Oreochromis niloticus: one gene and its partners. The protein of the gene in region 4 interacts with the protein of the main gene of each other region in a biochemical or structural test. Links are inferred from orthologs where the notes say so. Each region holds a gene or a part of one and is shown on either strand. Other genes may lie near its edges.

Region 1 (7,331 bases), on a different chromosome or scaffold from region 4:
GCTTTACAGAATTTTGGCTAAATGACTGCAGATTTATAATTGTGACTGACACCTCTGAACAGTAACTTCAGAAACACACATACTTTTAGCTTTGCAGGGGGGCACTGTTTGTCCTTTAAGTGGCTTACATGGTAACATAACACTCAATAACCATACTAGTGTACTCCATGATGCAGAACACACAGCATGCAATAGTTACTGACATACAGCAGATTTTTTTTTTTTTTTTTTATTCCATTTGAATTTAGTGTAGTTTGTTTCTTTAAGATGCTCCGCGGACCACAATCATGACTAGATAGTCCTCTTCACTTTTTGCCAGAGCTTTGGCAGAGGAATCCAGGAACTGCTGGGAGAAATCACAGGGAGGGAAAGCATGAAGAACCCCTGTGTTGTCTTTATCTCTGCTTCCTCCCACAGGCAGGCTGATGACTCCAGCTGCTTGTTTTTGGTTGAGGTAGGACACCAGGTTGCGAAGCGGCCGCTGAGTTGAAGCTGCAGGGTCGGATGAAGATGTATCCTCTGTGGTGCCGGGGACCGCCAACAGGATTGCGTAGCCGCCCGGACCTGCCACCTTGATGCGCCGAGACACCTCGTCGAGCTTGGGCTGGTCCAGCCGGAGTCGCTGCGTGATCTTTAGCTCGCTCACTCGCCTTCCTGTAGCGCTGTCGACAAGCAGGTCGCTGGCGACGTTGTGGTCTCCCTCCAGCAGGTGCATGTTGGCTGGAAAGTTGCTGTTCTTCAACAATAGCATACCATGCCACGCCAAACTGAGTTTGTTGCCATCCGGCTTGGATGGCTGGCCTCCCTTTGAGCTGCTCTCAGAACGTTCTCTCTTGGCTGGTCCTTTGCCACCATCGATTGCCTTGCGCTTGCGCTCTCCAACTGCTGAAATAATGTTGCTTGAAAGTCCCTTATCAGACAGACTCTGGCTTTTGGGCCTTCGGTCTGACACACCTCTTTCAAGGCTGTTGTGGCGTTCTCTCGCAGGAGAGGCTCTCTCGCCCCGCAGGGGGCGTTCTGAGTCACTAAAGCGCCCTCCATCTCTGCTGCTGCCTCCAGGACTGCCATCTGGAGAAGCACGTCTGCGTCTTACTGTCCTCTCAGTGCTATCAGGGGAGTGGTCTATGTGGCGTCCGTCCTCCAATATGCGCCGCTTTCGCGCAGGCTCTCGCCCCTGCAGCTCTCTTTCCAAAGACCAGGGCTCACGAGTTCGCCTCTCACGGTCCAAATGCTCCAGAGGCTCAAAAGGTGAGGCACGTACCCGCTCACGAATAGCAGGATTGGGCCAGTCAGTTCCAGGAAACAGCTCTCTCTCCCTGAAGTGAAGCGGCGGTGGAGTTCGTTCCCTGACCCTCAGTGGCTCAGGTGTGGCACGGTGGACAAATGACTCAGCCACCATGTCAAATGGTGGTATTGGGAGAGGCTGCAGGAACTGCTGCTGGTAACGATGCTCAGTGTCTGCAAAGTCCACTCTAAGTCTTCTCTCTGGGCCTCCCAGTGGGAAGCCTCTCATGTGTGTGCATGCTGCTTGTGCAGCATCTAAACTTTCATACTGAATATAGGCCCAAGTGTCCCCTTTTCTGTAGTCAATGGTCCTTATAGTGCCAAAGCGATCAAATTCTCTTGCCAAGGCAGCTAAGGGAACCCACGGTCCAAGACCACCCACCCACAGGCGCGTGGTCGGTGTTGCTTTCCCATAGCCTATCTTTATGGGATTGCGGCCCACTATTTTACCAGACATGCTAAGCTTAGCACGATGAGCCATGTCAAGATTCTCAAATTTCAGAAATCCATACGTGCTGGTTTGCCCCCGTGTTGGTCTCTTAATGTCCACTTCTGTTATGACTCCAAACCTGTCAAAAGCCCTCCTGAGGTCTGCTTCTGCAACAGTTATATCCAGATTGCCTAAAAACAACGTCCTATTAGCTCTTTGGTCGTCTTCTGGGGAAATAAAATCCTCTTCCCGGAAAGCTGCCCGTTCTGCAATGAAGGCTGGGCGTGCTCTGGCTTCAAACAGAGCGAACTCCCTATCCCGCTCCAGTTCTCTCGGCAAAGGTGGTGGTGGGGGTGGAGGAAGCCGTCCCAAGGCTAGCTGCTGCAGCCGGTAGTCTCTATATCCCAGCCCGGTGGGCGAGAGGGGTCGCTGCAAATGTCTGTGGCTTTGAGCTGCACCGTACAAGTCTCTCTCCACCGGAGACCGACTTCGCCTCCGGTTGATGTAGACCGCCTCGATTTTCAGCGGCCGGTCGTACAGCACCAGCCGTCCCCTGGCGTGCTTAGCCGCTCTGGCGTCCTCCGGCTTCCTAAAATTTACGAAGGCTATCCGCTCGTCGTTGCTACGACTTATCTTGACGCTCACATCCCCAAATTTTTTAAATTCGTGAAAGAGTCCGTCCTCGATGTCCTCGTCGCTAAGCTGAGTGCCGAGGTCGCTGATTTTGAGCGTTTTGTACTCACTCTCTGTGCTGGGCGGCTGCAGCCGCGGCTCACCCCGGGAGGTGGTCCTCGGTGAGGCTAAATCCAGCGTCAGGCTCAGGTTGTGGTTTTTGCCCACGGAGCTCGCTGCAGCGGCGGCGGCAGCTGCAGACTGACAACTGTGATTATTTCCAGTCCGGCTGTGACCGTCGAAATCTCGGTCTCTTTTTTCCCCGAGGAGACTCCGTCTTGTCGAGCCGCCGTCGCTTTTGGACGAACTGTTTCCATTATTACTCCCACTGGAAACGGACAGAGCCCCCATTTTCTTGCTGGTCGGATGGCATCCTCCCCTGTCTCGAATATCGTCCAGGGCCCGGGAGCGTTTTTTAATCGGCGACCGCTCTTTACCTTTCATTTCGGCCCACTCGGTGTCAACCGTCGGGACACTTGCTCTTCCTTGGTGCGATATTTTCTGCAACTTAATGCAGAAATTTACTGAAGTGAAAAACGGGTTTATTCACTGACCCTGCGGCAAAACAACAACAGTCGCCATTTTGTAAAGATTAGCTCGAAGACCCACCCCTTCATTCTGATTGGTTAGAAAGTGGGTGGGAAACTTTAAAGCGCATGTCAATCACCCAGCGGCAGGCACTATAATTTTATATTTTCTTAATAAATTAAATTGAGTATAAAATAACAAATAAATAAATAAGTTATCGAAATTGTTTGTGTTTGTTTAAATATAAACGTAAATATTACTTTATTTGTATTTTGCATTCCTTTGAAATTTCAGAAAAGCTTTTACCTTATTAAGACACTTGCATTGTCATATTATTTTTTATTCTGTTGAGCTGTATGCTATTCTACTTATTTAAATAAAAGTTAAATAAAAGTGGCCTATTTGTTAGGTCTAAATGGCTGCACCTTAAGGCTTAAGATAAATCTTATTCCTTATATCACAACGCCAGTTTCTGCTGTCCATCCACTGTTAACTGTAGTATAATACCGTAGGCAGGTTTCTTAAGAATATTATTCATTTCGTTTTTCCCGGGAGGTGAGATGACTTAATTGCGGTGTGGAGGCGAACAGATAATCCTCTTATCTTCAATTAGAGCCAATACCACAAGATGGCAGTATTGAACAGAAAGTGCAGCAGCCCACTCCCCTTGGCATTGAGTGGAAAGGGCCTTTCCTGGCAACTATATGAACAAATCAAGCTGCTGATATTGACTAATGTCTGCTACAGTGTAGGCCACATGTAGCAGTAGCTATTACAGCCTTTTAAAGATATAAGTTCAAAGCATCACACTACAACCTACTAATGTTTGCTCTTTAATGTGTCACAGTAGTTCGCCATTTTTTACAAGTCGTGCTTTGGCTCAAATCGAGCACTGCTGTTTGCACTTCTGCACAAGCATTTTATATTCTGAATATTTGATTTTCTCGGATGAACTGCCAAAACATTTTTCCTAGTGATAAAATTTTGGAAGCAGCCTTGACAAACTGCTGAAACTGAGCCAATCACACAGTGCACTACTTTGTTTACCTTAGTGGGATATGTTAAATAAAAGTAGCCTATCTGTTGTGTCTCAATAGCTGCACCTTGAAGCCAAGATAAATCTTGTTGAGATCAAAGCTCAGAGCAGTGGCCAGCAGTCAGCTTTACCGATTTTAATGAGCCTTAAATCATATTTTTTAGTCCAGTAATGAGGCCGAGGGTGTACTAGCTTCCAGGCTCTTGTGACAGTCTACAGCTAGCAACCCTGACATACTGAGTGATGATTAGCTCTAGCATTGTGCAGCAATGACTCATCATTTTTCATTTCTTTCTGAAAAAATCATAGAGGCTCTTTGGATCCTGATACATTGATTCAACACAGATCAAAGCCAATGCAACAGCATGATAACTTTAATGAGAGCTTGATGAAAACCTATGGCCCCCTATAGTGAAATGACATCACTGTACGTTCACTCTGAGACATTTTTGAAGTAGAATAAGCCAAACTATGATCATGAGCCCCTGAGTTAATCTATTACAGCTGTTCTGACTGTTTTAAGGAATTAAAATATCAAAATCAGTAAACCACCGAGCTTCCTCTTTTGTTTACGAGTGGATTTGATTAACCTGCTCACACTGTAAAAATAAATATCAAAATTAAGCTCTGATCCGCCATCTGCTATTTCTCCAGCTTTCCTAAACACGGCAATCTCCTCAATCCCTTATCCCTTCTGACAGGTCTTCTTATCTTCTCCTCTTAATCTGGGAATTAATCAGGGGGACTATGTGACTGCAGTGAGAGCTGCCGTCTCCCAGGGACTGGCTGGAATTTGAAGCTGTGGGTGTGGAAAGTGTTTCTGATGGCTTTCTGCATTCTTCTATTGGAACCACATGTTAGTGGCTCTCAGGAAACTCCGGCACAGACTTAGGGAAAGGCAGCTAATCCGCCCCTGCATCGCCGTCAAGGCGAAGCAGGCAAAGACAAAGGGGAGCCAATATATTCCCCTGAAAGCCATGCACACTCCCGGGGAGTGAGTTCAGCTTGGCGGGGCTTTGTCCCGCAGTGAAACTCTTTTTCTCAATTCACATTCAGTTCTCAGTCTCACAGATTGAAATGTTTGCCAGTTTGACATGAATGCACTGGCATTTAGTAATTCACACCATATGGGATGTACCGTGCAATTCAGTGTTTCCTTGACAATAACATAAATTGTTTGGGGAGATTTTTCTGAAAACAATTATTAGCACGGCATTCAGGATAATGTGAGTATATCTCTGTTACATTCTGCTTGTACACATGGATGCAGAAGAAACTTGACCTTGACCTGGCCTCAGCATACAAAATATGCTCTGAGCCACAGTAATCGATTAAACACCTCACATTGTAGGACATGCATGACAAATACATAATCATCTGTGGTTATCTACTTTATTATCAGTAGTGAAGTGTGGTCACCAGGTTAGTTTTTCCATTATGAACCTGCCACTTTCCCCTGATGCATGGAGTGTAAGTTGAAGTGAAGCCTAGCGGGCTGCACATTCACTCTGTACACTTTCCGCACAGCAGAAACCTTTTTTTTTATGGGATCCACAGCCTGTAAAGTATTTTTACCTCATAACCACATTCCCAGTTATATTTGCATTGCAAACGTGGCTATCGTTTTGCAAAAGAGTCAAGGCTAAAATAATTATAACTGAGATGGTTTTTGTTCATTTTGAAAAAAGAAAAAACAAAGAAAAAGAAAATCCCTCTTCTCCAAAATAGTTTGCTGCTGAATAAGACAGTTAAATTTACATGGAGCCCTTTATTACTCACGCACAACACAACAGACATTAAAAGGGATTAATATGATACATTTTTTACATGCTTAAATAATTTTCCTCTTTGGTCTCAGCACTGTGATGCAAAATAAGAACTCTAAACAAGAACGTTCGTATTAATAGGTTGGGTTTCGTGCAAGATTCTTAAGTTGCCCTTATTGTTTGCAAAATGCCTGTTCCAACATTTCTGAATAGCAACACGTCTCCAAGTTGATTTATATAAATGTTTGGAGGAAATATTCGAGTCAAATCCACAAATGTACATCTGGGATCGTGTATGGGTGACGACTGTAATATGCTGCGGCTCAGTCAGTGCATAATGGGGAGCTGGCGTTATTATGGTCATGTTGGCCAGGAGAGGATGCTGCCTGGTTCTTTGGCTTTCATCCTCAGTGCCACCAGGCCTGTTGGCTTGTATTCGGTCTCGGGGCCCTCGATGGAAGGTGACCCGAGGCCTCCTGGGAAGCCGTGGAGAGAATAGAGACTGTTGATGCCTGGATGGTGAGGCGGGTGATGGTGATGGTGCGGGTGGCTGGAGGATGTGGGCATGCCCATGAAGCCCTGCAGATTACTGTGGGGGTGAGGGTACGGACTCATGCAGGATGAGGGGATAGAGTCAGCCCCTAGGACACAGCCTGCACCTGAACCACCGCCTCCTCCTGAAGCTGCCCCCGGCCACAGATTGCCCTGCATCTGGATACGGAGAAATTTAGAACAATATCAGCAAAAGTTTTAATATTGTTCAGTCCTGTAACGTGAAAAAAATGCAATTTCTCAGCAAGTTCTATAATGTTAAGTTTACTACTACAACATGCATGCCATGTGAGAGCTACATTGGCCTACCTGGTATGCGTCATGGCGAGGAAGAAGAGAAATGTCATATGTAGCAGCAAAGTGGTTGCGAACCTCCTGGATCTTCCCATAGCGTTCTCGTTTCCTCCATTTGGCTCTGCGATTTTGGAACCAAACCTTTTAAAAAATAAAATATATTATAACACAAAAAAGTATAACAGTAAATTTCCAGAAGACAATTTTTTGTTTGGGCTTTATACTTTCTTCTGATTACATTTAGAAAATAAAAAAGGTGTCAACTGTGATGGAGTTGCCCTGGCATACCTGAACCCGAGCCTCAGTGAGCTCCGTCCGCAGCGCCAGCTGCTCCCGGGCGTACACGTCGGGGTAGTGTGTCTTTTGAAACACTTTCTCCAGCTCCTCAAGCTGAAATGTGCTGAAGGTCGTGCGATTACGTCGCTTCTTGTTTTTGCCAGATAAGTCAATGGAGTCAGCGATAGAATCTCCTTGTAAACCACTGCCTGGCTCTTTGAGCTTGCCACAACAGTCTGTGCCAATCCCAGGATAGCCCATGGTTTTCGGAGTGCCTTTGTCCCGAACTGAAGCAAGGCAGGAAAATGCAAAGGAAAAGTTACACATCCACCAAAATAAATATACAATCGTATACAAATTCTAACAGTTTTTTCTAAGTCAATCTGCGTCAATATACACTGTAATTTAATCATTTGAGACTATCATTGCCTGAAGATACAGCTTAAATTTATTTTTATGGAATGCTAAATTTGATTTCGATTTTATAATTGTT
Region 2 (7,919 bases), on a different chromosome or scaffold from region 4:
TATGTCTGATATGAACTGTTTCATACTGACTGCAAAATGTGAGAAAAGGAAACTTCAGAAAGCATCCTGACCAGACACCAAATGTGAAAACAGTTCCAGAGAGAGGACTGACCAATCTCTCAGCCTGTAGCTAAGTTTAACAAGAACCTGCCAAAGTTGAAGCTATGTGGCAAACAGACTTTCAGCATACAGACCATTTTACTTTTGGTTTGTTCTTTAAAACAAAAACAAAAAAAAACTCAGCCTAGCAGCCTCATTTTCAGTGTGTAACCTGAAACAGCAGGTGAAAAGATTAGTGTTCTTCAGATTTAAGCTTTCTGAACAGGTGATGTGATAAGTGACTAAGTGGATTCTAAATTGGTGGTCTTTTGATGCAAGAAGACATTTATTGAAAATATTTATTTAATTTAAAGTCCAGTGTTATTGTTGTACTTGGGTGTCTTCATATTAAGACACCAATGCTGTTTGTGATAAGAGAAGTTAGAAAAGGAAGCTCTGAGGAAAAGCACCAGCTTGCAAGTGCATCTCTTGGAGACACCATATACCCCGCAGTGACTTTCAACACTTGATAAGCTATATATGCTCCTTCCTTCCTCCTTATCTATGCCACACACCTGTGGGGCACCCTGTACTTTACCCTGTGTGCAAATACACTAGTGTATTTACATGTGTATAAAATGTGAAAAATAAGTATAACCACCACCATAGTGTTGCTTTTAAAAAAAAAAAAAAAATCATAAAAGCTATCCATCAGAATTTCTACTGTAGACACAGTAGCATAGCTAAGACCCAAGAGTGTTGTATGAACTGCACATCAACCTTGAGAAGCTTTTGTGTTTATTTTTTAAGTGAATAATATCTAATTAAATTGGTGCTCTTATTTTTAAAAAAAGAAAAGTGAAGCCAGCCCGACTGTTTTGAAGAACTGCAATCCTAGAAGTGAATCAAGACAGAAACAGCACAAACACTGCATGTCTTACCAAGCTCCTTCTGCTTTCTCAACAAAGTGTTGTGTAAACAAAACTGATGATGAAAAATTAAACCTATCTTTTAAACTGTAAATAAGATTTGGGTAATTGTTGTTTGTGGGTGAGTGAGCCTTTACTTAAATGTGAAAGTTCAAACACTTCTGCATCATGTGCTATTGAATCTATGCACAATTTAAAAAGACTTAACCTTGACTCACATGTTACAGAGGTGAAAAACTATTCAACTTCTTTTTGTGTTTCATGCTACAGTTTCATGTACTTGTCTTCATTGTTACCATGAATGCCATTTCTATTTTAACACTATGTGCGAAGTCAAAAGGGTACATTGCCATGGGATCAATGCTGAATTATGCAAAATCTGGGTTGCTGATTATGTGATATATGCTGTTAAGAGCTGTAACATGACACTGGAACGACAACAGCAGAGCTTGGAAAATTACATGAGTCTTCTTTTTCTGTTGTCGGTTAACTGGTGCTTTTAGGTAGAAGTGTGAATGTTTTTCTGTGTATATGCATTAGTCCTGCAACAGTTTGGCGACCTGCCCAGGGAGTACCCTACCTGTCGTTCTATGAGAGTTGGGATGGGCTCCAGCTCTCTACCCTTGTGACCCTGAATTGGATTCTGGTCAGTTAGCAGCTTAATAAATCACTGCCACAACTTGTAAAGAGTCAAACATAGTCGTACGAATGCAATCAATTATAATGCTCGATAGAAACATGTTGATTATACTTGATTTGTGATATTACCTGATCCAGAGCATCAAACATGGGAGGAAAACAAAAACCATGAAACCCAGAAGAGTCGAATTAAAAAATGTGTAGTATTTTGTTTGTATAATCAATATATCTTGATGGCAAGCATAAATAATATCTATCCAAAATCCTGTCTTACTTGAAATTCATAAATGTGACAACATTTATGAATGCTGGTGCTGATGATTGTTTGTGCGACTACGACTATTAACGACGATCGTCAAGGAAAGTCGATTGTATATTTCTCAAAAGAAAAGAAAGAAAGATTTCCAGTTGATTTGCACTCCAGATAGAGAATACACTTGTAGTTCACTGGAGTTTTTTCTTTAACTGATAACAAAAAAAGTACACAAGATTTTCGACTATCAGGACAAGTCTTAGCCACCATTAAGATCACAGGTTGGTTTTAAAGCCAACAGTACCGCTGTCCAGGCGGCAAATATACCCACTAAGGTAACCATGTGGGTTTCCAAGCAGCCAATGCTCTCTGCGCAGTTCAGCTGGCTTTGATTTGGCTAACGGTGCCTAGCACTTAAAAGGTTTCCACCCAGCCCCCCAACACAACCTTAAAATGTAAAACAGTTATGTGTACCCCGAGACAGTTGTTACTTAGAACCAAACCATCTTGCCACGTCTACCTGCAACAGTATGACGCCTCAAAACTTAAGAACCGAGGACAACAATGCGCCGTTCGCCGATGCTAGCGTCCACTAGCACTAGCTCCATCGGCTAATGGCTAGAATCCTACTTCCTCGCTTTCCACGAACTTTGTTAACAGTTAAAAACTCACGACTTCAGCAAATGTTGGCCATCTCAACTTGTCGCATGTGAATGAGCACTTAATCAACACTCGTTACCTAATGTAAACGACACACCGTGTTGCGATTTGACTGTCAAGCCCGCCTGCTTTTGCTAACCTATGAGCTAGTTAGCTAGCCTTTAGCCGTTAGCATTTCCTGTGCATGCTAGCAGCGCGTGGAGGCCACGAGCGCTAACTGCAGGCCACAAAATGTCTCCAACTAAACAATAACAAGACCTCAAGAATACAAGCATTACAGTCACTGTACGGTCCTCGAAACGGGCTTTAAACTGAAATTGTTCATTCTGTTTACCTGTTTACTCTTGGCGTAAGGTTTAGAGGCAATATGATATCTCCTGCTTCTAATTTTCCCTCCACCCGTGGCCGCCATGGCTCTTTCGTCTGAGTGTCTTTCGGTGTTTCGGCGCCGGATAGCTGTCATCCAACACAGTGGCCACTCTCAAAGGAACTATGGGAAATGTAGTTGCATAACCTAACAAAGGAGGTAAACTCGACAGGTCAAGCGTACTGTATGGCATCATGAGGATAATTATTATTATAAAGGTAATAAGAGTAATTATAAGGACATTTGTACATTTACATTTACAAAAATCACAAGTATACGGTTAAATCTCAATAACATATATTTGTAAGGGGAAAAAATAATTTTTTTCCTTTTGTCTAGGCATTTTCAGTAGTTTTTATAAATGATGTGGCATGGGGGAGAGATATGGAAGCTTCTTTCTGCCACTGAAAAAAGAAAAATATTTTCTGTTGTCTGTAATTCCAAATATTGACTTAAGAATTCCAAATAATTTCAAGTTACATGTCTCTGAGATTTTGAGACATTTTGAGATAAGGGCTTTAGATTTTGACTCAGATCTGCCTGGCAAATGGTGGAAGTAAAATTTCATAGTAGCGGGGAGCTCACCTTATGAATGTTTGATCATAAATAAATACAGTAAACAAAGAGTTTAATTCAACACAAAGGTTTCAAGAATATTTTGGTTTGAAGAAGTGTTTAACAAAATGGAAATTATTATTTTTAGACCTTTTACTCAAATAAAAGTAATAATCCCAACTAAATAATAGTGCAAAATTGTAAAAATATAGGCTTATATGCATTAAAAGTAATAACTGTACTGTGGTCCTTTTCAGAATCACATACCAAGGTATGCAGGAATGTATCAACAACACATCTTCATTACATCCATGAATCTTCTCTGTGAGCTTCCTCTTTTCCTGCTTCCTGGCAGCTCCATATTCACCATCCTTGGTATCCAGTATCCCTCCTCTACATGCCCAAACCATCTCAGCCTTGCCTCTCCCTGTGGTTTTATTTGGCAAATATTTTATGACAGACACCCTTCCTGATGAAACATCAACAGTTAACTTAAGTAATAAAAAAAATACATTAAAGAACAATTCAATAGTAATTCAGATAAATGGTAGCTGCTACATCACCATATTTCATCTCACAAACAATTTGACCCATTTTGATTCTTCATAACAACGATATGTTGGATTTCACTGTGGTAGCTGGCAGAACTAAATGAAAAGGTGACTTGAAAGGTGAACTAAGCATTCCTGTGTAACTTGTATAATGTGGTGTATAAATTATACCTTTCTACACATTAAGAGCAAATCAGATATACAACCAATCCTTTGCTTTTTACACTCATTGACAGTTATATTAGGTACACCTGTTCAGCTGCTTCAAATATTTAATCAGCCAAACACATGGCAGAAACTCAGTACCCTGAGGCATGTAAATATGAAGACAATGTCAAGAAAAAATGGGCATCAGAGAAGAAAGGTGATCTAAGTGACCTTGAACATGACATGGTTATTGATGCCAAAAAAGTATGAATATTTCAGAAGCCGCTGATCTACTGGGAGATTTTCTTCTAAGTGGCCGTTCTCTGGTTCATGATGTCAGAGGTCAGAGGATAATGCCAAGAGTTCAATGAGTCACTTAAAAGGCAACATGCATGTAGAAGAACATCTCTGAATGCAACACACCAAGTTTTAAAGCAGAAAAGCACACCAGGTGCTGCTCATGTCAGCTTAGAGCAGGAAGAATCTATGCAACAAAAGGTTAAAGCAGCTCTGAAGGCAACCCGATACTAGAAACATGCAAGTAATAAAATGGCAGTTGAATATAGCTTTGCACTCACAAAATGTGTTGTAGAAAGCCACAGATATTTCAAGTACCTGGGGAAATTGTTCCTTTAAAATGTCAACAAAAGAACTGTAATAGACAAAGATGTTTGTAGCTGTGGGTGTTTGGACTTTTAAAGCACTTTTAAGAAAGTTAATGTACAATTTTAGAGAACGACTGGATGGTTCGAGTAACAGTATAATTTTAGCACTTACAGATCCGACACTGAGTGGTTCCCGTTACTCATCCAGTCTGAGAAAGCACTGGTTAAAGTGTTTGTGTATTTATTGATTTATTTTAAGTAATTGTGTTTTATGTATATTATGGTTTTATATTTTTACAAATTTTTACAAATGCTTTATATTTTTTACTAATGTTTTATATACTTATTTATCTACATATAGATATATATGTGTGTGTGTTTCTGTCTTGTTTTTATGGACATGAAGTCTGCCAATAAAGATTGAATTGAATTGAATTGAATTGTAAAATTAATGTTTGTTGTCCTCTTGTTGTTGTTTTTTTGTTGCTTCAGACATATGAGGCCACAGAGAACAATGAAATGAAAAACCATGAAAAAAAGACTATATTTATTTAATCTTTGTTTTAATTATGTGTACAAAAACAGTTCAGCCATTCAAATCATACATGGGTAGTAACACGTCATGCACAGTTTGCTGTGTTGTCTGCACTTTAAACTCAATACATTAAAATAATCAGTGAAGAAAGTTAGTGCTGAAATTAAAACTAACACTAAATGAAAGATTATTCTACACATTTAACAGCTTATTTAGAGTATTCACATGTTGTATTATTAATGTCACATTTAATTAATCTGGATCATAAAAATTGCATTAAAAAAGATCTTTTTACACAAATATTGAGCCACTGAATGTCACCGCAGTGCAATTACATTGAATGTCACAGTTCTGTGTTGGGTACGCCACACATTCATACACAGCATCACTCCACAGACATCGTCAAAGTCACACATCTGAAAAACTTTAATAAAGCAACAGCTGGTTAAGTAATTCTTACACTCGTTTAAAAAATAGACAAAGACTTTATTTCCTGCTGATGCTGTTTTGATTGAAGAAACTTACAGACAGTAAATGCACCAGCATCATATAACCATAAAAATATTAAACCGACAACATTAATCATCATCATCAAATCATCACAGAATCAAACCATCTACAACTCTTAAACCCAACAGTATTCGACATCTTTAGTTTCTCTTAAAGCTATTAAGGTCAGTAAATAAAAAACACACCAGTCAAAAAGGTTTAGTGCAAATAGTCTACATGTGTGTTGTACAGGATGGTGGGTGTGGACTGGTTGGTACACCCCTCACTTGACAACATTATTCCAGTGTTAAAAAGACAATATTGGTTGTGGAATGACACAGACTGCTGTTACAGTCCAAATAAGGCACCATTTTCTCTCAAACTCCAGCGCATATTACCTCATTATTTAAGTTTGTTTAGAAACATCTTTGACATTTAATAGAAAAGAAACTCAATCAAACTTTGCTGTCGTGTTCTGGCCTCCCACACCTTTAGAAGTTCAAACGGTTTATCAAGTGACACCGATATGATTTCTGGAATCTATTTTTTGGCGATTAATTGCACCAATGATGCAACTTACAATATTAATTAAATCCATCCACAAAGTGCATACTGTATTCCTCTTGGTAAACGCATCATTTCCTCATCCCCCTCCACAGAGGTCACAAAGATTCAGTATCAGTTGCTGTTTATTGTCTCTTTCCTCCTTGACCATTCACAAATCTGTTCCTGCCTGCAGCTCTCCTCCGTTTTGCAGTCTGCACAGTTCTTGGGGAATATTCCTGAGCTGTGGAGCAAAGAGACATGAGATATAATAAACATTTGAGATGGAGTTTAGTGAAATATTGTCATCAATCTGCATGTTATGAGACTGACCTGCAGCACCATCTGTGATGAAACCACATGAGTCAATAACACTCCTGTCATTGCAGTTGTGCCTTTGCAGAGAATTTCTCTGCCAACAGAAAGAAAATCAGAGTCACAAACACAAACAGTCTGTACAACTCGCTCACTCAAAACACTGCTGTGGCTTGGTTCAAAATGTACAGACGGTTTCAGAGTCCTGGTTTTCTGCATCCGTGCTCACCGTCATATTCTAATGGTGGTGCTGTGCCATGCTTACACACAGGGCACTTAGAAACAGTTAACTGTTGACATTGATGCTAACGCCAGAGGGGTGCACCGTGAAGTGAGATTAATGGCACAGTGAGCTATGTCGAGGTTAACGTCAAAGTTTTCTGTGTCAAGAAAGTGACTCTGTTTTGGCTAAATCACCATGGTAACTCATGCTGCACACATAGCATGGTCAGGAGCAGGGTTTTAATTTAAGATCATCAGGAAGTGCTTTTCAGTGATTCTTTTTTCTTCTTTTTTTTAAACATCATGTTTTCCATGTGATAAAGATCCTTTGCTGGGTAAATACATCTAATATGTGCAGCTTGTTAAGCCGTATCTTACTAACACCACCGAATGTGCAGCTAAAAAGTCGAAACAGTGCATTTTTACTGGGATTTGCATGTGTTCAGTTGGTGATGTAGGAAAAAACATGAATATAAATGTTTTTATATTGGGTTCTGATGCTTACACAGCAGCACTGAGATTCACTCAGTATTAAAATAAACTTGATGTATTGATGAGAGTCAAATTTTATGGCTATTTAACTTGGTGTTATCTGCTGCACCGTTGCATTTTCCAGTTATATGTTTTTGTCATTTATATATACTGTTTAATCATCATCATCATCATCATCATCATCATCATCATCATCAGAAAACATCTCTGACTGGAGTAGCTGGCACTCAAAGAGATCAATTTGTGCAGAAGAAGCGTCATGTGAAGCATTAAACGGCCCTTTTTATGTAAATGTGCACATAACCTTGAAGCAGAAAGCCCGGCTTAACAGAAAGGTTGATAACCACCACTGTGACACCTGCTGTGTGTGACTGGGATTTTAGGTTTTACCTCTTAAGCTTTCTTTGTAGTACATCCCTCTGTTCTATTCCACAGATGGAAGTTTCTACTATCACAAGCAAACCAAAACCTCTAGAAACATTTAAGTAAGCAAGCAGCCCAGGGCACTGTCTTACCTTCACTTTCTTTTGCTCATACCACACCATCCCATATAAGCACAGGAGCGTGATGAGTGCCTG
Region 3 (8,000 bases), on a different chromosome or scaffold from region 4:
GTCGAAACCATTTTTTCCATCAGAAAAGAAAACAAACAAACAAACAAACAAAAAAAAAAAAAAAAAAAAAATTATCACAAACAAAACTGGTAAAAAACACTTTGGAGCATTTAAAACAAGAGGTGGGGCAATATTTTCAATCACATTAGAAGACAACCAAGTGTAAAATATTCTGCACATTTGTAACAGCCACCCTTCTGTGCAGACAGGAAGGGACGACGACCCTCAGGAGCTCGTTTTTACGTTCTTAGCTGGTGTCCATCTGAGAAAACAAACCAAGAGTTAATTAGACATCTGAGAAAATGGACAATCTGTTACTCAGAAGAAATCATATTTACAAGTTTCAGGTAAACATACCCTGGCATTGTAGGCATCTAACTGGGCATCGAGCTCCTCTGCTGACAGCTGCTGCTTGCTACTACTACCACCACCACGGCCGCCTCGTCCACGTCCTCTAGGGCCACCTGCACCACGCCCTCCACGGCCTCTCTGCATGCCTCCAAAGCCGCCACCACCACGACTTCTGTTCATCATGCCTCCTCCGCCGCCGCCTCTGTTCAGACTGAAGATAAAGGAGCCTTTACACATCAAGTCATCAATACATTTGCTGCCCCCCCCTCCCAAACAAAAAAGAAATATCAACCTACCCCTGCATTGGCCGTCTCTGTGTGTCGATCTGTGATGTGACGAGCTGAATGTTCATAGGGCGCCCTAAAAACACAAACACCATGAACCTCAAAATCTTTACAGAAGCAGCAAACTTTAAGAAACTGTTTGCACTGGCAGGTCAAAGAACGTAAGACTTACCATCCAGTGGGATGCCATTGTATTGCTTCATGGCCTTGAGCGCATCTGCCCTCCTTTCAAAGTGGACATCTGCAGTTCCCAAGCTTCTTCCTGATCGGTCGTAATGAACTGCAGCCTTTTTCAGAGTTCCAAACTCAGCAAAAAGTTCCTAACAAACACACGTCCAAAACAATTGGTCCTCTTGATCCACACTGTTAAACACACCAACCCAGGCCAAGAATCACAAACAACTTAAAATACCTGAATATCTGCATCTGAGACCCCAAAGTCGAGATTGGACACGAGGAGCTTCCCTCCAGTTTCCACGCCAGCTCCTCCTCCACCTCCAGCAGCACCATTGAAGCCGCTGAAGCCGTTGTCGAACATGTCGTGCTGCCACTTATCTGGAAGCTGTTTAGGCTGCAACAGACGAAAGAGAACGCACCTGCTGACTTCAGGATCCCCTTGCCCTCTGTCATTCACAGAGTCCACACGGCTGGGTGTTGGGGCAAGCAGGGGCTCCACTTCCAACATGGTCAGGGTGCTCAGGTCCCCCAAGAGGATCCCCACTATTCCCTGCCCACCCCATCACTACAAGCAAGTGAATCACTTCGGACAGATAAGGACATACACAAGACAACTTAATATATATATAAAAAAAATTAAAAGGCAAGGGGATGTCTTGTATACAACCTGTACATGCATACATTTTGGATACATTTTTTTTTTTTTTAAAGTACATGTCTTTTCAATGACCAAGTTCAAATAGAGCCAACTGATTTTATTATATCCCACTCCCACCCATAACCTCTACATTAAAACCCAAACAACCTCCCATGCTAGCTACAAAAATTGCCCACTGTTTTCTTGCCAGCTGCACCTCCACCAGAGGCCCTCCAGATATGATCCTCAGGGACACAGGGGGTCGCCATCTGAAGCAGCGTTGCCTCCAGCGTTGCACCATGTTTTCCAGGCCCGCCCAAGAGTTCTTTACCAAGCCACGAAAAGGGCTTTCATGAAGGGGGAAATGTCCATAACACGAGAGTGGGGATGGGGATGTAAACAAACCGAAAGGGGGCCCAGCTATCCCCCCATCAATGAGCGTGGATTATCTGAGCGTCCATTTTGAGACACGCCATTTTGACTGGGGCTTTGTTTAGATATTCATTCACACTTAAGGAGTGATGATTTGCCTTAACATGAAAATTATCAGAGAGGAGGTTTAAAGTCCACTGATCCATCCAAAAAGCAACAGCCACACCGGTTGAATAGCCACCAAAATGGGCCTTGCTGAGAAGAGCGTCAGCCACTCCCGAACAAAAGGCCGTCTGGTCGCTGCGCTGGGACTTGACCAAAAAAAAAAAAAAAAAGAAGAATTTTGCTCCCACGATAGTAGCGTGCGGGTAGAATTTCTCGTTGATGCGATTTCCTTTCACCATCAATTTCACTCAAGAGGTGGAAAAGCACCGATATGGACCTTGGACGACTAGCTCTAAATTAAGGTGCTTGATTCAAAATGGCGCCGCTTCGGCCTTTACGATCCAACTTTAGCTAGTTAGCCAACACGGCTAACACAACTGCTCTCTCCAAAAAGGGCTCCTCTTGAAAAAGGATGCAACACATATGGATTGTGGGAGAAGGGACACAATATGCATACAACTTCCATTAATGCATAGCCGCCAATTATAGAGCTCTCCTCCGAAGGGAAAACTCGGCGGTTAGCAATCATTTTATTCGCTTGACTAGCAAGCTGGCTAGGGGATTAGCTACAGAACGACGTTAACCAGGCATTTTCAGCTTTGTCGAAGGCTTTTCCTTTAACTTTCTCATACCCTGCTGTAAGGCGTTGGTCTGCCTCTAGCGCGTTTCGGGATCTGTCGGTTCCTCATCGGGCCGGATCCGCCGCCTCGGCCTCCAAATCCTCCACCGCTGACTCCGAGACGCCCGGGGCCTCCTCCTCCACGGCCGCCGCCACCTGCGCCTCCGCGGCCTCGACCTCTGCCGCCCCGGCCTCCACCTCTCTGCTGCCTGTTCTGCTTGATAATGTCGTCTAGAGACATATCCATTTTATCGGTCATTATGCTGCCCCAATAATGCTAAACTGTTAATGAAATAGTTAAAAAAAAAAGTACAGCCCTAGACTTCAATGGTCCCGCTCCCTGCCCTTTCCTCTCTCCCCGACGACAAAACACAATGAGCAGACGGTTGCTGAAAAACAGTTTCGTTGCGTATCATACGTAGACAAACGTCAATGCGTAGTAACATCTTTCTGTCCAATCAGATGTTGGTACAAAGTTACCAACAGGGAATTGCTATTGTTTTGCTCCATAGATGAGTATCGGTAAGCAATCAACAGTATCGTCCGAAACAATGAAGCAATCAACAGTATCGTCCGAAACAATGAATCTACAATACAATGAATCTACAATTATTTAAATAATCTAAATATTAAATAAATATTAAATAAAATAAATTTACAGTTTCACTGTAAATTTCATTAGTTTGAGTTGTAGTTGAAAGTCTTCATTACACAAACTACTACAGCTATGTGTGTATAAAATAACTGAAATAAAAGAAAACAAAAAAGAAAGAAAATGTAACACTGTAAGTCAGTTTGAACAAATATGTACATATTTGTGGTCATAACCGATCGTCATGGTAATTTTTTTGACTTTTAATGATTTCTGTGAACTAACGTTTTCCAGTGTGGAATGATTGTAAAGCACAGGCTAAACTATAGACATACACCCCACAATTGTCCAAACTGCACCTAAGCCAGACACTGCCTGCTGACAGTTACATTGCACAAAGTGTTTGGAATAACGAAGAAGTAGGACCACTTCCAAATCACCTCACTTCACCTAAAGTCAGTGGCTAAGTGGTTGAAACCTGGACACATTTGGTGTTTCAACAGGAAGATGATCCCAAACATACATCAAAACTGGTTTTGGAATGGATAAACATAAAATCCAACTGTATGGATGACAATCTTTAACACGGTGCTTTGAATAAAAGCACCATTTTCAACATTGCTTTTTTTAAAGCTTAGTAAACAGCTATTTTACCCCCTGGATCAATTTCATAATTTTTCCACATTTAGAAATAGAAAATGCATTGAGTCATATAGTATCCAATTTTCAGGCGTTGATAGTGTGATAACAGCTGCAGCTACACAGAGCTGTGCAGGTTGAGATTACCGCACTGACAACTAGGTTTGGATATTTTAACAATGCCTGCATTCATCCAGTCCAATTCAATAAATTATTTAAGACCCTTTTACCCTTGGCTTAGTTATCCCTTGCTGGCACACTCTGTCAGTTCAGACACAGTTATCTATCACCTATCCATCGATATTTTTAACCACATATCCAGTTCAAGGTCGAGCAGAGCTGAAAGTGGGCAAGGGGTGGGGTACACCATGCACAGGGTAACGTGGAAACACAAATAACCATTTACACCTTTTTAACTACAGCCAGTTTAGAATCACCATTTGATGTTTGGAGATTTGAAGCACTCAGCTAAGTTAAACTAATCAGCAAGATAGAATTATCTACTCCACTAAATTAAACAAACAGCTTCTTGATGAATGGGGAAACCTTTCCACAGACACACTCCGGTATTTAGTAGAAAGCCTTCCCAGAATGTGGAAGCTGCGAAATGGATCAGTATATAATGAGATTTGTTAAAAAAGCTCCTATAGGTGTAATATAAATGATAATGGACTGGTTCTTATATTCAGGGGTGCACATAAGGTGCGCATTCGCTGTCAAAATAAAGGACGCGCACCAGATAAGAAGTTGAAACGCGCGTTTGCGTACATATAAAAGGCACTGTTTTTGTCCGCTAGAGTGGGATTTTCACGGCATATTCTGCACCACATCTCTGTGCGTTCATCATTTGTTTGAAGCCAGCTCACCTCCTGCAACCACTTTTCCAAGAATACGCGCTTCTTTTGCGGTTTGGACTCCTTCTGACATTTCTTTGGAGGTGGAGGAACGCCAAAGTAATTGCTTAAAGGAGCTTGCTTCTTCGACATCTTTAAGAGTTCTAAATAAATGTCTGTCCTCCTCCAGAAAATCATATGTACGCAAACGCACGTTGCAACTTCTTATCTGGTGCGTGTCTTTTATTTTGACAGCACATGCACCCCTGCTTATATAGTGCTTTTCTACGCTAATTGAGCCTACTTGAGCACAACATCTCTCATTCACCCATTCATACAAGGATTTATTTCTATGCTTTATCTAACTCCTACGTGCTTTCTATCAAACACTGACACACGTTTGCACTTCGATAGATGTATCAAGCCACCAATCTTCTGATCCACCTCCTGAGCTACGGCCACCCCAGTACTATTCTACATATACACTATAATCCTTGTCTGTCTTAACACACATGTGAACTTGAGTGACAGCCCAATTTTAATTCAGAGGGTTTAATATGATGTTGGCCCACACTTCAACTCTTCTGGGAAGACTTTCCACACAATTTAGGGGTGTTTATGGGAGTTTTGGACCATTCTTCCCAAGCGCAAATTGTCAGGTCAGACACTAATGTTGGATGAGAAGTCTTGTCTTGCAGTATCTAATTCATGTCAAAGATATTCTGTTGGGTTGAGGGCAGGACTCTGTGCAGGCTAGTCAAGTTCTTGCTCATCCATGTCTTTATAGATCTTGCTTTGTGGTCATGTTGAAACAGGAAGGGGCCATCCACCAAACTGTTGCCCAAAATGTCTTGGTATGCTGAAACAACAATTTTTTCACTGGAACTAAGGGGCCGAACCCAGCTACTAAAAATCAGCAACACACCTTAATTCCCCCTCTACCAAACTTTACATCTGGCAAAATACAGTCAGAAAAGTATTGGTGTCCTGGCAACTTCCAAACCCATTCTTGCCTATCGGATTTCCAGACAGTAAAGCGTGGTTCATCACCCCAGAGAACACGTCTCGACTGCTCTAGAGTCCAGTGGTGGCGAGCTTTGCACGACTGAATCCAACACTCTGCACTTGGTGATGTAAGGTCTGGATGCAGCTGTTTCCATGGAAACCCATTCCATGTAGCTCTCTGTACACTGTCCTTCTAATCTGAATGAGGTCTGTAGTTGTTGACTTCTGTGCGTTATGTTCCTCAGCATCTGCTAACCCCACTCTGTAATTTTACATGTGCTACCACTTTGTGGCTGAGTTGCTGTTGTTCCCAGTCGTCTCCACTTTTTTATAATACCACTAAAAGTTGACTATTTAGTAGTGGCAAAATTTCACGAGTGGATTTGTTGCACAGGTTGCATCCCATCACTGTACCACTCAGCTCCTTAGAGTAACTCATTCTTTCACAAACGTTTGTAGAAGCAGTCTGTAAGCCTTGGTGCTTGACTTTATATACCTGTGGCCATGGAAGTGATTGGAACACCTGAATTCCAGTGATCTGGAAGGTTGAGTGAATACATTTGTCATTATAGTGTATATATTGTTTAAGTCTGCCTTAAAAAGGAGGTTCTGAGAAATATCAGTCCTCTAAAATGGTCATATATGTATGATTTGATAGTAAGATCACCCAACAAGGTCAAGCCTGGTTGTCTTTACCCTTGGAGTATCATCTGCTCCGCCCTACATGTTGACTGTGCGTCAAGTGCCTTGCAAAGGGATACATCTAAATTGCTGACTTTTTAAATATTGCATCTGACAAATAACAAAATACTATAATAATTAAAAAGAAAAACAATTAAAACAATACCGATACTGGTGAAAACAAAAGCTAACCGAACATTTTTGAACTTCAACTCTGGAAACTAGCTGAAAATAAACTGGATCAAAAACTAATTACAACTCATGGCCAATACAAAACTAGAATTCTAATGTGATAAAAATACAGTGATGTATTTATGTAGAATAAGTACAACTACAAGTAATGTAAAAGTCTTTTTATTCAACATTTTGTTTCAAGGCTTTGGGAAAGAAGAGGGGAATGGGAGGGGATTTATCAATACTTGGGGAGGCCCTCTACTTAATAAAGTCCGACCAAGGGCAAGAAAATGTATAATAAAAATGTTGGCTTTGTTTACACTCTGTTTTGGCTTTGAAAACTCGCCCATAAAGTGTGTGTGTGTGAATGTTCAATTACTTCTACACTTGCTTAATTAATGATAAACAAAATAAAACTACAAATAAGAAGTCAGCCCTTTCATATTTTCCTCCCATGTCATATTAGTAGTAGTAGTAGCGTCGCGTTTAAGACTGAAGTCTTTTGCGTCCTGTGGAGACAAAAAAAAAGCTGAGGTACAAAGTCGGCAAATTTTGGATGAATCTTTGCATCGGTCCCGTCCACATATCGAATGCGACTGGAAAAAACAGGAACTGAGAGAAGAGGGAAGAAATCCAACTTTTTCTTTTTAGTCAGTCTTCGAGGGTGAAGGAAGAGAAGCTTTGCTATGGTCCAGAGTTTAGAAATTAGATTTGCATTCTGTATTAGACTGACCAACAACGATAACTTTCTGGCTGACAAGAGGGCTGACGGAGGAAAAGTTCTCGAGGATAATGTATGGGAGAAAGAAAAAAAAAAAGCAATGGGATAATTAAGAGAAAGACTAGGACTTCTTGGAGTCTTGTGTGTTGCGTTTTTTGAGGTCACTCAGGTCCACTGGTGTGAAAGCTGCAAGAACAAAAGGAAACGAGTAGTTAATCAGCACGTCCTTTACCGATTTCATCTTTTAGTGTGATGGAAAAATAAACATTTGCTGGAACTTACAATGTAGATTAGGATTTGGGTTCTTCTCGACATACTCCTGTGGTCCACGGTCATTCCGGTCACTATTTTGCGTTGATCTTATGTCTCTGAGCACGCACTGCCAAGCTGCGAAATAAGCAAAAACAAAGAAGTTTTACTTAACGATGCACCTGAGCCATGTGCTGGCATTTTCTAACTTGCAAAGCGTTATTTCCAGACCTTTTAAAGTGCTTCAGTGTCAGAGCGTGGAAAATGAATTTTTGCTATCTTAAACCAAGTGCTTTTAACAATGTTTTGGAAGTAATCACTGAATTTAAATTGTGGTCAGTGGTCACTAACAAAGCATGAGCTACATTCCTGCTGTCCTACTATTTTATTTTACTCCTGCACGGTTGGCGTGGAGCACCCATAATTTTGATGTACATGAACAATGATAATAAAGGGCTTTCCTGTTCTATTCTATACAAGCCTTTTCTCAGACTTGAAGAG
Region 4 (7,110 bases):
TCATGGCGTGGTACTGGGTAAACATGTGTCCAAAAGGTCACAAAATGACACCTCCGAGATGCCTTCGACATATTTTTACCTCCGTGAACCATGAAATCGGTTCTTCTGACCTCTCTCCTCACGACAAAGTCTCTAAGATCTGTGGAAAGATCGTTAAAAGTGCAGTAAGTTTAAAGCTGCAATGAACGTGGCTTCTTACCATTGTAGTAATGACCGCCGTCCGCCATATTTCTCCAATAGTGTTGGATAACAATCACAGCCCAGAGTGAAACAAAAAACAACAATGCTACTAGTGGTGGTTATTTTCCTTGTTTCACGGCACTCAAAGCCAAGGCTGTCGGAGAAACTCCAACATCCCGGGTGGACCAGCGGAAACAAAGGTGACCGCGACGTGACTGTCGCCTTGTATCTAGCAGCTTAGCTTAGCTTCCCCTGCCGAGCCCAAACGAGAAGACGAAGCCGGAAACACAACTGGGTTCTCTTCCGGGGCAAGAAAAGGGAGCGGACAGCTGAAACAAACTACGGTGGGATTATGGTCGAGTAAAAAACAAAAAAAACATGCAATGTACAAATCAGGCTTTGCTAGCGTTAGCTTCGACCTAGTTTTGCGTATATGAGCAAAAATTATAGCGCGAAGCTTGATGTAGGATATCCGACCATTTAAATCATATTACAGCCAATCATAAACACACGAACCTCTTTAAAAGGCTCACCAACTTCTGTATTTCCACAAAGATGGGGGATAAAACACAGACAGCTGTCTTTTAAGTTAGCCAACGGGCCGATCTGTTGTTGTTTTTTTCAAAGCTGCGCCAGTATGCAAATGTATTTAAAACAAATCTACAGCGGTATCAAAGGGTATATAAAATGGGGTTATCTTATTTAGCAAGCTAAACGTTAGTGAAAAGTACCAAATTTAACTTAACGCCCACACTTATACACACTGTTTCTTGTTTATTATGAGCAGGTGCAATTGTAGCGAAACAAACCTCACCTGAGATTACCCCTGAGTTAACACTGTTCAGAGAAGCTGTGTGTATGTTTGTTTTTTTTTCCTGTAGGTGCATTTTTGATGTACTGGATAAGGAAAGCTACTGGAATTCTTCCATATCTCACACATTAACACTACATGCCTCCCATCATGTTAACATATTATTTACCACCTGTACTGTGTCATTGAGCCACTTTAATGTCGTCTTATAATACTATGCAAAAGTCGTGAAGCAGCCCTGATCTTTATATTTTCCTAGGAAAAATAGGAAGTCAGCATTTGGTCTTACCGCACTTATTCTTAAACATAGCCCGATCCCAATAGTAATTTCTTTAAGTGGTCCTCGGGAATAGTTCTTCAGCCTTCTTGAATAATATTCAAAGCTCTTTGTTTGATGTTGGCTGTCTTTTGTTCTGTTCTCTGTCAAGATGATCACTGCTTCAATAATTCCGCGCTAAGCACTCTGGGGAGGCCAGTCCATGATTGATAGTGTTCCACTGTGTTTTTTTATATGCTGGATCTCACTCCTGACCACCTCTGTACAAGTGGATGATTATTTGAACCAAACATTTCATATTTGGATTCATCACTCAATAAGCCATGTTGCCACTGATTTCCACTCCAGTTCTTTTGTAATTTGGCACACCTCAGCCTTTTCTGTATTATGTGTTTTTGGACAGGCTGCTGATAACAAAATGATGGATTCTTTGCAAAGTTGTCTGTTATGAGCAGAGGAAACACTGACTCATCCCTTGAGTTTTGGTTTGTTTTTATACTTGAATGAATCATTGGTCAGTGTTAAATGGCTCAACACACAAAAAAATCTGAAAATGGTCAGGTACAAGGATTGGACTGAAAATGAGTGAGAAAGTAGCCAATGTTGAAAGAAAATTTTAATGAGGCTTTTAGAAGTCCTAGTGAAATATTGTTTAAGACCAAAATATATATTTAAAAAAACATCAAAATGAAGGCTAAATAAATTAGGGGTGGCTCAAGACTTTTACACAGCTCTATACATTTGCTGTCTGTCATCTCGGTTGTGGGCAAAAGACTTGCAACGGACAAATAAAGGCTATCTCATCTCATCTTCCTACATTTATTAAATAGTTATTAATTCTATTTATTTTACTTTTTTGAATTTGGAATAATTATTTTTGTATGATATACTTATTTTGCTCATTTTTTCAACTTATTTTTTGTCTAATTATAATATTTTTGTCATAACATATTACTTTTCAGTAGGCCTACTACTGTAATTATTGTTACAGTATTTTATTAATTATTATAATTTCTGTTGCTTCTAACTTTTAGCTGGTCTAACAGTGTTTAACATAATTTTTAAAGATAAACTGGATCTTATCTTACTGACAGGCATTTTGGATATTTTTCCAACAGACAGCAGGCACCACAAACATCCACTAAAACATGGCCTTCATGAAGGGCAGATTTACTAAAGAGATGGTTACTTTTGTCTTCATGATGAACTCGAAACTAAACGTATATTAACTCGTGATGTATGTATATTACAATACAAGGTAAAATAAGACTCAAATGATCTTATAACTAAAATCTTCTATTGATTTCTAAGACTTCTTAATCTATCTCTTCTAAAAACTATATTCGTTAAATTTGAAAATAATACTTTCAACATCATGTAACACCAAGACCTTTGATAAAAACAGACTCACATTCATTTAGATGTGTCATTTCCTAAACCTACAGAAGTTTTTATTCTAATTTCAGCGCTGCACAAATCATATCTCAGTATGTTGTTTTGACCAGCTGTCAGTAATCCTCTAAATAACTGGAAAGTTCCCGTGACATGTGCACAAAAGACTGACTTGTAAAAAGTAAGAAAAAAAAAAACCCAGTTGATATTAATGACTCACTTCTATTGTTTGTGCCACTGAACACCAAGCATAAAACCAGGACCTCCCATAAGTGGAATGCAGCCATTATCGGTACTCATTATCTATTAATATCTACAGCGACAGGGCAAATGATCTGCTGTGAGAAATGCCTGTGACAGAGCACTTTCAAGGCAGGAAGGTGCAGCTGGAAGCAATAACAATAATGAGGTCCCAATAAGCCCTGACAGTGAACCAGCACGATTTCTTAATACTACCAGAAATGTCACAGAATGTCATAACAAGCTCTTAATATTTTAATTTTTGGAATTGTCCGGAGTTGCTTACTTTTTATTTATTTTTGTACAAACAGTGCACTTTAATATAGCCTATCAGGATTAAAAAAGGAGTATAATTTGACACTATTTCACTCAAAGGAACTTTAGGATAGGCTCAGCTGTACAATCTGTGTTTTATCACAAATCGTGACCATCCAGGTGGTTCTTTTGCCTAAGTAACCAAACTGCAACTGAATATATATTTAATTAATATAAAAAATATATGCATTAAAAATATTAGCCTGAAGGCTTCCGTTAGCATCACACCAACTAAATTCTCTGACCAGGTAAACAATAGCTACAGCTTCCTCCTCGGTAGCACGCTTATTTATTTTTAAATATTCAACGTTCAGGCAATATCTTTCACAATGTCTGTTTAAAACACGAGGCATAGGCAGGTGTAAGCGATTAGACGGTAATGTAAACCCAGGCTAAACGAAGCCGAGAGAATAATGGGAGTCAGACTTACCATCATTCACCACATGTGTCACCACGGCCAGGTTGGGGTAGCTCCTCTGAAACATGACCACTTAGTCCTCTCAAGACCACTTAATCTCCCAGTAAAACTTACTTTCTCCTTGAAAAACTCCTTTTCACAACAGCACCAGATTCTTTGTCAGCCTTCTTGAGCGAAATTTGAAGTTTTTTCTTTTTGGGCAACTTTGTGAGCAGAAGCTAAGGCTAGCTTGCAGCTAGCAGCTACCGTTCACGTTGGCTGCGTATCCTGCCAGGCCAAGTTTCAATATTTACCACTAATTTTTTTTTTTTTTTACCACCTTATTGCTTTTTTCCATAAAAGTACAGAAAACCTGTCGTTTTAGCTCCTGTCAGTCGGTCTCTCCCGCTCACTTTTCTCCTGATCCTCCAACAACACGGCGCCACCTGGCGAAACGAAGCGTCTGACTACTGCAGCCTGAACGCTTAAACTGCCACAATATTAGCATACAAAAAATATATTTAGGCATATGTAAGATTTTGTACTTTTTTATGGCATTTTTAAAAATAGATATTTGGCTTAAATAGTTTTAATATTAACAAAGTAATTAACTTAATTTAATTCAGGCATCTATTTGTCAATCATACACAAATTATTATTAGGTTGTTAAACAATAACAAAAGGGGAAAAAATTAATTTTTCTGCTGTATTTCCTGTTGTTAACTAAAAAAAAAAAATCCAAATTTAGTCATTGTCCTTTTTAACAATAGTCAGTGATAACAGCTCCAAGACATTATTGCAAACTTCTGCATCTTAATTTGTGGTCTCTCTTTTAGAATTGTCACATTTTAATAAGCCAAATGTGTTTTCAATAGATGAGATGGAGCCTTTAATTACTAAAGCTATAAATTTTCATCTTGACAGTCTACAACCACTAAAATGCTAATTATGATGTCTTAATGTTAGTGTAATATTGTCTCTTGGGCTAGATATTCCTATTTTTCTAAACTTTCGAACACAAAAATGTACTTGAATTTAGCTGATATAGATATTAAAGTGCATAAATCTGTTGAAACCCTAACCCTTGCTCTGAGTCTTAACACTTTGCTTTTGGAGAAAAGAAAAACAGGAATTTAAAAAGTAAAGATAGTCTGATTACTTTGTTATCCTCTGACGGACAGTATCAGTGAGAAACAAAAACATATTGTGATAGCCGAGGGTTCGGATCACCGATGATGTGTTAGACCTCACAGGGTTAAGAATTGTAATTGTTTTACTGCTTACTTTTCAGTTATTTATTATTTGACTTACTTTAAATTAAACACTCAGCATTATTTTAACAATACTTCAGATTTGCACAAATCATATCATTCAGTCTTCTTCTTTCGGCTGCTCCCTTTAGGGATTGCTGCATCTCACTCAACCTTTGCGTCCTCATCTTTCACACCACCCTCCTACATTAATATTTTCCTCCAATTTTTTTCTGCTAACCCTCCTCTGCACATGTCCAAATCATGTCAGCCCTGCCTCTATAACTTTGTCTCTCTGATGTTCTCATTTCTAATCCTGTCCACCCTTCAGCTCTGCCACCTCCAGCTGCACCTCCTGTATTTTTGTCAGCGCCAGTGTCTCACTCCCATCTTGTAAACCTTCCTTTTCACTCTCACTGTTCTCTTTCTGTCACAAATCAGCCCTGACACTCATCTCCACCCACTCCACTCTGCCTGGACTCTCTCCTCTCTTGTGCCCCATCTGTTGCTTTGGATGGTTGACCCGAGATATTTAAACATCCACCTTCACCGCCTCTGTTCCTTGCAGCTTCACTTTTACACCTGTTTTCACCTCTCCAAGCTCTCTTCGGCCTGCCTCCTTCTCTCACTTCAGATCATAATGTGTAAGAGGTCAGGCAGGAGTCTCTGTGGACTCCTGCCTGACCTCATCAGTTCACCTGCCCATCACCACATCAAACAAGAAGGGACTCCGAGCCAATCCCTCCCCCACCTTAAACTCATCCGTCACTTCAGTTGAACACTTCACCACTGCCTCATGCAGTGTAATACATATATATGCTTTTTGGCTGCACTAATCCATCTCACTGAAATATTTTATTCAACCTGCTTTTTGCAATGATCGAATGGATTTGACTGCCCTGAGATTTCAGCGGTTAAACTCTCACTGCTATTTAGCATTTTATGTATTTATTTACTTTTTTGCATATCATTGTCTTTCTATTTGGACTTGGATGTCTGCAACTCATTGGCCTGTATTTGTATAGCGCTTTACTAGTCCCTAAGGACCCCAAAGCGCTTTACACAACCAGTCATCCACCCATTCACACACTGGTGATGGCAAGCTACATTGTAGCCACAGCTGCCCTAGGGCGCACTGACAGAGGCGAGGCTGCCGGACACTGGCGCCACCGGGCCCTCTGACCACCACCAGCAGGCCACGGGTGAAGTGTCTTGCCCAAGGACACAACAACCGAGACTGTCCAATCCAGGGCTCGAACCAGCAACCTTCCGATTACAAGGCGAACTCCCAACTCTTGAGCCAGGATCGCCCTGCATTTTATGTAAAATGATGATAATAGTGACACGGATATATAAAAACTCAACAAAAAGAAGCATTCTTATTTTAATTTTTATATATGTGAGGTTATTTATAGCCTATAAAACTGTGAAAAACATTTCAGCTGCATCATGTGTAAGTAATCTAAATACAAACAGTAGAATAATACAATACAAACATTGTGGCTGTGTTTTCTTCATCAGTATAGCTTAATCTGTACTTAACCCATGTTTTTTACACATACTGTCTTAAAAAAAGATAGAGCACGAGGCTGTTCAGCCTATGTGCGCATAATGAGATACCTTAAATGAGCTTATGTTGCAACAAAGGCGAGCTGTTTTAGTTTATGCAGACCAACCAAATTAAAACAAACAAGACAGAAGCATTTGTAAACAGATCTCCAGCAGAGTCATTCCCAACCCATGCCTCAGGTACGCCCCTGATCTGTAGATCAGATCAGATGTTCCTTGGATTGTCCGTCTTTTGCGAATGAGAAAACAAAAAGTTCTTTGTAACACAGTAGCTTTAACTGTCAGAGTATGTACATACCGGATGCACAACCACATATCTATGGATTTTTGGTACACTGAAGTCCCTTGTTCCTCTTCCTTAGCCCCTGAAGACACAATCTCCATTAACAAATCAAGTCTCTTCCAGCGAATGAAACCATTCCAAGTGTAACACCAGTCGATTCGTCCATCTCATCCACTTACAATTGTGTAACGACTGTCAAAAATGCACATTCACGGGCTTATTTGCTCCTCCTCACAGCTCTCCTCCTGCTGCCATGAGGCCACGCTGATGGCCTGGGCTAAAGATGTGACGAGAGAGGACAGACCGATGAGGTAGCCATCCTCCCTGCTACCTTCAGACCACGGGACGTTGTGTCGGAGCTCCCGCGAGTCAGGCAGAGGCGTCGTCTTTCCGAAG

What was found.
Region 1: the proteins of nxf1a (region 4) and rbm15 form a complex in vitro, tested with the Homo sapiens proteins (2 studies listed by BioGRID). The link is inferred for Oreochromis niloticus from reciprocal best matches to the Homo sapiens genes NXF1 and RBM15.
Region 2: the proteins of nxf1a (region 4) and nup153 form a complex in vitro, tested with the Homo sapiens proteins (2 studies listed by BioGRID and IntAct). The link is inferred for Oreochromis niloticus from reciprocal best matches to the Homo sapiens genes NXF1 and NUP153.
Region 3: the proteins of nxf1a (region 4) and alyref form a complex in vitro, tested with the Homo sapiens proteins (2 studies listed by BioGRID and IntAct). The link is inferred for Oreochromis niloticus from reciprocal best matches to the Homo sapiens genes NXF1 and ALYREF.

What each region holds. Positions count from the first base shown.
Region 1 is NC_031984.2:21,081,505-21,088,835, forward strand, and holds the start of rbm15 (RNA-binding protein 15), read right to left. Parts: upstream 3,010-7,331; 5' UTR 2,831-3,009; coding exon 263-2,830; 3' UTR 1-262. Other genes in the region: alx3 (homeobox protein aristaless-like 3), read right to left, coding at 6,077-6,427, 6,578-6,703, 6,851-7,125. UniProt on the Homo sapiens protein: RNA-binding protein that acts as a key regulator of N6-methyladenosine (m6A) methylation of RNAs, thereby regulating different processes, such as hematopoietic cell homeostasis, alternative splicing of mRNAs and X chromosome inactivation mediated by Xist RNA.
Region 2 is NC_031985.2:21,180,159-21,188,077, reverse strand, and holds the start of nup153 (nuclear pore complex protein Nup153), read right to left. Parts: upstream 3,013-7,919; 5' UTR 2,984-3,012; coding exon 2,855-2,983; intron 1-2,854. Other genes in the region: ptdss1b (phosphatidylserine synthase 1), read right to left, coding at 6,459-6,556, 6,646-6,724, 7,857-7,916. UniProt on the Homo sapiens protein: Component of the nuclear pore complex (NPC), a complex required for the trafficking across the nuclear envelope. Functions as a scaffolding element in the nuclear phase of the NPC essential for normal nucleocytoplasmic transport of proteins and mRNAs.
Region 3 is NC_031969.2:13,796,458-13,804,457, reverse strand, and holds the start of alyref (THO complex subunit 4), read right to left. Parts: upstream 3,008-8,000; 5' UTR 2,865-3,007; coding exon 2,619-2,864; intron 1,207-2,618; coding exon 1,048-1,206; intron 956-1,047; coding exon 808-955; intron 712-807; coding exon 648-711; intron 563-647; coding exon 358-562; intron 263-357; coding exon 248-262; 3' UTR 1-247. Other genes in the region: mcrip1 (mapk-regulated corepressor-interacting protein 1), read right to left, coding at 7,372-7,436, 7,533-7,637. UniProt on the Homo sapiens protein: Functions as an mRNA export adapter; component of the transcription/export (TREX) complex which is thought to couple mRNA transcription, processing and nuclear export, and specifically associates with spliced mRNA and not with unspliced pre-mRNA.
Region 4 is NC_031966.2:20,671,781-20,678,890, forward strand, and holds the start of nxf1a (nuclear RNA export factor 1), read right to left. Parts: upstream 3,019-7,110; 5' UTR 2,948-3,018; coding exon 2,881-2,947; intron 1,315-2,880; exon of another isoform or gene 1,300-1,314; coding exon of another isoform or gene 1,281-1,299; intron 525-1,280; exon of another isoform or gene 228-524; coding exon of another isoform or gene 200-227; intron 140-199; coding exon 80-139; intron 1-79. Other genes in the region: si:ch73-22a13.3 (inositol-trisphosphate 3-kinase A), read right to left, coding at 6,924-7,110.